2 linked regions of the Macaca mulatta genome follow. The protein of the gene in region 2 interacts with the protein of the main gene of each other region in a pairwise test. Links are inferred from orthologs where the notes say so. Each region holds a gene or a part of one and is shown on either strand. Other genes may lie near its edges.

Region 1 (3,654 bases), on a different chromosome or scaffold from region 2:
GAGTTCAAGACCAGCCCGGGCAACATAGCAAGACCTCATCTCAAAAAATGAAATAATTTTTTTTTTTAGAAAAAGAAAGTCAGTATTTCATTAATATATATTATAATACACTATAAAATGCCTGTAGAACAAAGAAACACGTTTTTTCTAGGTTCTGTGACAGCATCATTATCCATTCAAATTTTTCTCATAATTAGAACCTGACATTCTGGAAAAATACAGTAAATTTTCATTGATGTTACTTGCTCTGCCCCCCTTTTATTTCTCCCATTAATAATATTAATCCTGAAAAGAAGAAAAGAAAAAGGAAAAAAACCACCCAAGCGAAATGTTTAAGAAATACGGTACGGACAGTTTGGTCCCTTGAAAAATTAGAGCCACCAGGTAAACCTGTTCTGGGGTCCTCACATCTGTCCCCTTTTGGAGTTTGGTAAGTAGTACAGTTGAAGTGAATTTTTTTGTAACAAAAGTAAAAACTTCCAGAATAACTCCAGTAAAGGGTGTTGACGTGACGTACAAGTTTGGAAATATATTTAACATCTGAGAGTCCTTAATGTTGGTGTTACTTCCTCCAGTATAGAACAAACTTAATCTTTTGATGAAAATCATAGAGTTCCATAGATATGAATAGAATCTCCAACCGGTGCATCTTGAAGCCAGCTGCCACGGCCACTCATGCACCTTCTCTGTGCCCATTCAGGAGAGAATTCTCAACATCTCTGCTCAAAACAGTGTTTACTTTTAGTCTATCAGAGACTTCATGTTTGTTGTGCATGCACACTCACAGCTCTCCACACACATGCCCACTCCCCACACACATCCTGCTTCTGAGAAATACAACTAGAATTTCCTCTGGAGAAGAGGTGGAAACCCCTGATTGAGAAATTTAAGGCCTAGGAAAGGTAAATGACTTTTCTTAAGTCGCATAGTTCACCACAGAACCAAAGCTAGAATGCAGATACCCTCAGCTCTTCTTCCAGTGCTTTCAGGTATACAAGTATTTGAACAGGATTCAAGGTTTAACTCCTTATGTGTCTTTCAGTGTATCCGGTGTAAGTAAAATGTTGCCCCTTAGAGCAGCCTTGAGAATTTCTCAATGACTACAGACTTTGGTTAGTTCTATACAAGGGAAGTGAGAGAGAGATAATGTCATGACCAAATGACTTAACTTTTGAAAGCAGCCTATTGCAAACTTAAATAACTGGGGCATGTATTTTATTGATTGACCTGTAAGGACAGATATTTTAAAATGTAAATTCAAAACTGTTTTTTGCAGCATTCACCTATAGGCCTTCTATATCTGCTCTTTGTGAAATAGATGGCTTCCAGAGCATTAAAAAAAGAAATAGACATTTTCTTGGTTCAATAGCTCTAATCTGCTTTCAGAGTGATTTTTTAATAGTTAAGCATATTTTATGTGCACATAGTTTCATTTGCGATCTGAGAGGATTTCATCTAAAACTGAAAAGTTATTACTCGTGAAGGAGAACAAAGGAAAAGGAAAAAAAAAGTTTAAGAAAAAAAAATTGTTTTAAGCCTCTAAAGTTGCTTTATGTTCAAGTGGGTATTTTCAACCCTGAGTTGCTGAAATGATTTTTTATTGAAAGAAGGTTAAAAGTGTATTTCATTGAAAGCCAAGATAAACAGTAGATTTTGTATCATTTTAAAAATCAACAATTGGCTGGGCATGGTGACTCACGCCTGGAATCCCAGCACTTTGGGAGGCCAAGGCGGGCAGATCACTTGAGGCCAGGAGTTCAAGACCAGCCTGGCCAACATGGTGAAAACCTGTCTCTACTAAAAATACAAAAACCAGCCGAGCGTGACAGTGTGTGCCTGTAATCCCAGCTACCCAGGAGGCTGAGGCATGAGAATTGTTTAAACCTGGGAGGTGGAGGTTGCAGTGAACCCTGATTGTGCCACTGTAATTCAGGCTGGGCAGCAGAGCAAGACTCTGTCTCAAAAACAAACAAAATAAATAAATAAATATAAAAATCAACAGTGAAGACTCCCCAAACAAAAGAAATTGGGATTCTTAGCCAGTCATAGGTAAAGTGTTACAGTGTAAATTAAAGGGAAAGAAGACCAAAATTGGTGAAATTTGTTTGGTCCCAGAAGATAATTAAGATGAATAAAAGAACTTGAGAGTATTTTCTCATTATTAAGCATCTTCAGCTTTAAAGATTTTAGTTAGCAAAGCAAGTTTACATAAAGAAACAGTTTTCTGAACTGGGATGGCATTCACTAAGTTAGAAATCTCCAAGTCACCCATGTTTTCCCTGTTTTATTTGCAGCCATTCGTTATCTATGACATGAATTCCTTAATGATGGGAGAAGATAAAATCAAGTTCAAACACATCACCCCGCTGCAGGAGCAGAGCAAAGAGGTGGCCATCCGCATCTTTCAGGGCTGCCAGTTTCGCTCCGTGGAGGCTGTGCAGGAGATCACAGAGTATGCCAAAAGCATTCCTGGTTTCGTAAATCTTGACTTGAACGACCAAGTAACTCTCCTCAAATATGGAGTCCATGAGATCATTTATACAATGCTGGCCTCCTTGATGAATAAAGATGGGGTTCTCATATCCGAGGGCCAAGGCTTCATGACAAGGGAATTTCTAAAAAGCCTGCGAAAGCCTTTTGGTGACTTTATGGAGCCCAAGTTTGAGTTTGCTGTGAAGTTCAATGCACTGGAATTAGATGACAGCGACTTGGCAATATTTATTGCTGTCATTATTCTCAGTGGAGGTAAGATTTGTCTTTTGATCCTCTATGAAAGAGGGTGGGATGATGGTGGGATGGCCAAAAGAATTTTGGATTTCCTTATTAGTCTGCGTTCTTTGTCGCTTTAAGTGCCAATGGCATAATGCCATGAATCACCTCTACACGTGCAAAACACTGTACCAAGAAAGAGTATCATAAGTTTGCAGTATGAAAGTTATGAGTAACCCAGGATCTTCTCTTTCTTCCCTCAACAATATAGTTTTTCCAATCAAATGCCCTCTTCTTTTTCTTTTCTTTCTCTCTTTCTTTCCTTTCCAGAAAGGAAGATTAGAGGCCAATCTAATCTTTGGTTCCTGTAAGTAATGGCATGTATAACTTTGCTTAAGACAATGCTTACTTGACGTAGAGAAGGAACTACTAAGTGTTTCTGGTCAAATCATGCTCCTGCCCTTCCAACAGTAAGATACTACTTTGAATTGCTTTCGTGATATCAGGAATTAAGGCATACCTACTGACCTCCACCCACTCTCTTGTGTGGATTCCTCTGATGGCTTCCCTTCAAAATACCTTTGTGAGGTAGTTGGTTGTGATTAAGAATGCAATCTGAACCGAACACACAACATAGAAATAAATTTAGTTATTTAGCAATTTGTTGTATTTTTGGCCCTGCAAGTACATGATCTGACTAACCAGTTCCAAAAGCCAGATTTTTTACTGAGTGTGGCTTTTTTTTCCTTTCCTTTTTTTTTTTTTTTTTTTTTTTTTGTGAGACAGGGCCTCACTCTGTCACCCAAACTGGAGTGCAGTTGCATGATCATAGCTCACTGCAGCTTCTAACTGCAGTTAGTAAGCTATGATCATGCCACTTCATAGAAGTAATACATGGCCATTTTACAGTTGGGCTCAAGTGATTCTCCCACCTCAGGCCCCTGA
Region 2 (3,654 bases):
CGCCCCCTGAGCAGTATCCTTTTTAGTGCTGAAAAGCAACCATCATGTTCCTGTCTCATCAGTGCACACATGCCAGCTGTGTGTAACTGAGATGCACAGGAAGCAGCCAAGAAACGGCAGTGCACTTTCTCAGAGGTGCTCCTGGCTCTACCCGCCCGCAGACCCTCGCCCAGCAGTGGCATGGCGGCTGCGCTGAAGACAGTGCTCCACGGAGGGAGATCTGTGGTCAGCTCCAAGGTGCCTCCCTGCGGCGTCTGGAGGGCGGTAGAGCGGAAGGCATGCACCACGCTCTCTGGAGCACTCGCCACCTAGCACTGGGTCCACTAGACCACAAGCCCCTTGAAGGCCAGGACTGGTCGTGGCGCCTCCCTGTGTCCGTCTGCCAGCTGTGGTGGTGCTCAGTGAGCATGTGGGAACTGAAGAATGATGCAGAGGTGCGTTTTAAAATCGACATGGGGGCCAGGCACGGTGGCTCACGCCTGCAATCCCAGCACTTTGGGAGGCCGAGGAGGGTGGATCACTTGAGTTCAGAAGTTCGAGACCAGTTCGGCCAACACGGTGAAGCACTGTCTCTACTAAAAACACAAAAATTAGCTGGGCGTGGTGGCACGTGCCTGTAATCCCAGCTACTCGGGAGGCTGAGGCAGGAGAATCGCTTGAACCCGGGAGGTGGAGGTTGCAGTGAGCCGAGATCGCGCCATTGCACTCCAGCCTGGGTGACAAGGGCAAAACTCCATCTCAAAAAAAAAAAAAAACATGAAAACAGACAAGCACAGGCTCAGCTGTTCAGAACACCTCATCTGGCCAAAGAATAGAGCAAAGTCCACCTGAGTATGCTCTTGAGAAAAGCCAAATGGCTCCCCACTGGACACCCTGATTGGAGAGCACAGGCAAGGCAGTGCAACAACGCCCCAGATCCGCCATGTCGCCAGGACTGGGACACCCTGATTGGAGAGCACAGGCAAGGCAGTGCAACAACGCCCCAGATCCGCCATGTCGCCAGGACTGGGACACCCTGATTGGAGAGCACAGGCAAGGCAGCACAACAACGCCCCAGATCCGCCATGTCGCCAGGACTGAGGCCTGAGAGCAATCAGGGAGCCTTGTCCTTAAGAAAAAGCCCTACGAAGCTCCTAACCCACTTCCAGAGCAGGGGAGCGAAGCCAATTCTCAACACCAATTCACGCACAGCAGTGGGGCGGAGGGGTAGCGAGGAGAAGCCACTGACCACACGGGTCTCAAAAGATGCATGTGTGGGTTTCACCTTCCTCCTCCTGCTGCTGCCCCTCACCCTGCTCACAGGCACCATGGACCCCCTCCCACAGACCCCCGTGGGCTCCCCTCTCACGACAGGCAGCCAGGCTGAGCCAACTCCTCATCACTGCGCAGGCTTCTGCCGCACCCTCCCAGAGACTGGTCATTCCTGCCCCCTGCCATACCCCACACGGCCAGGTGCGGTGCCTGAGCCCTCAGGAGAGATGGGCAGGCGCTGGGACAACCTTGGAACTGGTCAACACTACACCTGAGCGCTGGGGTCCAAGGACCACCAGCTCGCCAGTGGAACCCTGAGCCAAGGCAGCCCACGGTCAGGCTGTGGTCAGGAATCACTGGCGGGACTCCAGCAACAGCGCCAGGGGATCAGCCAACACACACAAACGCTCAGCTTCAGGCCAAAATTCTAGGGAAGCTAACGGCTGAGGGATGGGGCTTCGTTTCTTACCTATCAAAAAGAACAGACACCCGCTCCATAGCAACAATCACCGACTCGCTGTCTGGGGCTGCAGGATTAGGGTCTGAAGTTCTACCCGGACTGACTTTCTCCTTTCCTGTAATAAAAGTGTTCAGTACGAAGGTTACATCTATACAACCCAACAGGCTCTGTAGATAGTGCTTTGTACACAGGAGTCCAATGAATCACTGGAGAAGACCTGACAGCAGGTGATGTGAGCCCCTCGCTAGCCCAGGACCCAGCACAGCTCAGCCACATGGGATGAGTGACCAGAGGGGTGGTCAACCCTGACCAGGTACTCCAGCCCTGGGGGCTCCAGAGCCTCTCTTGCAAGGTGATGGGGCCAGCTTGGGGCAACACTAAAAGTGTCAAATCAGAGGACACCTAGTCTAGGTTCCTTGAGCGAGCATGCTCCTGTCTCCCTTGAACAGGACTTGGGCTGGCCTTGCGGGCACTGTGTACATGCTCACCTGTGTACATGCAGGTGAGCATCAAGCCCAGAGCCGCCATGGCCCGGTGCGGGCTGTGCACGTTCACTCTGTCCACACTCAGCTTGACCAGGGATTCTGCATCCAGGCGGGAGAGCTGCTCAGAGAGCAGGAGGCGCTCCAGGCCTCTGAGGGCACAGTGGTAAATGATAGAGGGGGTGGACTCCTCACTTCCGGACAGCATCACCCCACACATCTGCACAGGGAGAAAGGTTTCTGTCGCTGCATGGTCTCAGGTGTTCATGCCTCCTCCCCACCAAGTCAAAACTGGCCCACTGGTATGATCCCGCAAGGAAAAGAGAAGGGAAGCCCACTCCCCGTGTGCAGAGGAAGACAGTCAGGGCCCACTCACCTGTATTATTGATGCTGAAAATTCTGGCCCTACGTCCAGAGGATAGTTCTCAATCAGGTAAAACGCAGTGGCACACATGACCAGTACGTGCTGCTGGCTGTGAATGTTCACGCAGCTGAAAACGGGAGACAGCAGCCAGGCTCAGCCGCCCCCATCCAACGTAGAGAGGGCTTCGCAGCATGCCCAGCCACACGCGGGAGTGAAGAGCTGCGGGCCAGGCTGGCTCCCGGGAGCACCTACCCTGTGTGGCTCCCCAGGCCCCTGTAACCTGGCCTGACCCTTCAGCCTCTGCTCGACCCCTCCCTGGATAGCTGAGCCCGTCTACCTCCTCCACGCCCTGCCCTCTCGGCCTGGCCCAGCCTCCCCTGTGGCCACCTCCATACTGGCCACCACAGACTTCCTCTCTCTGTCCCTCAAAGAGGCCCTGGATTCCCACACCCCAGGCCAGTCCCCTCTACTTCCTGAGTGCCCTGTGCTTTTCCTTCGTGGCACATTCCACCATGACGTGCTGCCTTGTGTGATCCCCCGACAGCACCTGCCTTCCCCATGGCACAATGGGGACCCGGTAGCCAGGGACTGAATGAGTGGCCACTGTGAACAGAGGAGCCAATAAGATGCCCCCCTCCACCCACAGAAATGTGCCCAGTGATGCTTATATCCATCACCACGTGATCCCACCTCTACCTCGGAGGCATGTGACACAGCCCGTGCCCATGGCACTGAGGCCAGCCCCACACACCATTTCTACCTGGATGCCACAAGCTCTCTGCATCCCAAACGCAACTCCTGGGCCACCTCAACTCTCCTTTCCTGAGTCCTCCATGCCCACAGCAAGAGCCATAGACGGCCCAACACGCCAGCACAGCCAGGGCTTTGGCCTGTGCCTGGGGCCTGTTGTGGGGCTGCCCCCCAAAATCACCTCGCTGCACCAACGCATGTGCCTGATTTGCAGGCCTGTGTCCCCCGTGTGACTTGCCCTATGCCAGGCTCCAGGGATGCAGAGACAGTTGCCAGCTGTCCGCCTGTCCTGCGTCCTGCTAGCACAGCACCCACCGCCCAGCAAGGATGACAGACGAGAAGGGCCT

What was found. The genes of interacting proteins can lie anywhere in the genome.
Region 1: the proteins of HTT (region 2) and PPARG interact in binary tests that used the Homo sapiens proteins (3 or more experiments, as listed by UniProt). The link is inferred for Macaca mulatta from reciprocal best matches to the Homo sapiens genes HTT and PPARG.

The regions. Positions count from the first base shown.
Region 1 is NC_133407.1:151,232,491-151,236,144, forward strand, and holds part of PPARG (peroxisome proliferator-activated receptor gamma), read left to right. Parts: intron 1-2,294; coding exon 2,295-2,745; intron 2,746-3,654. UniProt on the Homo sapiens protein: Nuclear receptor that binds peroxisome proliferators such as hypolipidemic drugs and fatty acids.
Region 2 is NC_133410.1:3,412,748-3,416,401, reverse strand, and holds part of HTT (huntingtin), read right to left. Parts: intron 2,685-3,654; coding exon 2,570-2,684; intron 2,414-2,569; coding exon 2,200-2,413; intron 1,827-2,199; coding exon 1,721-1,826; intron 1-1,720.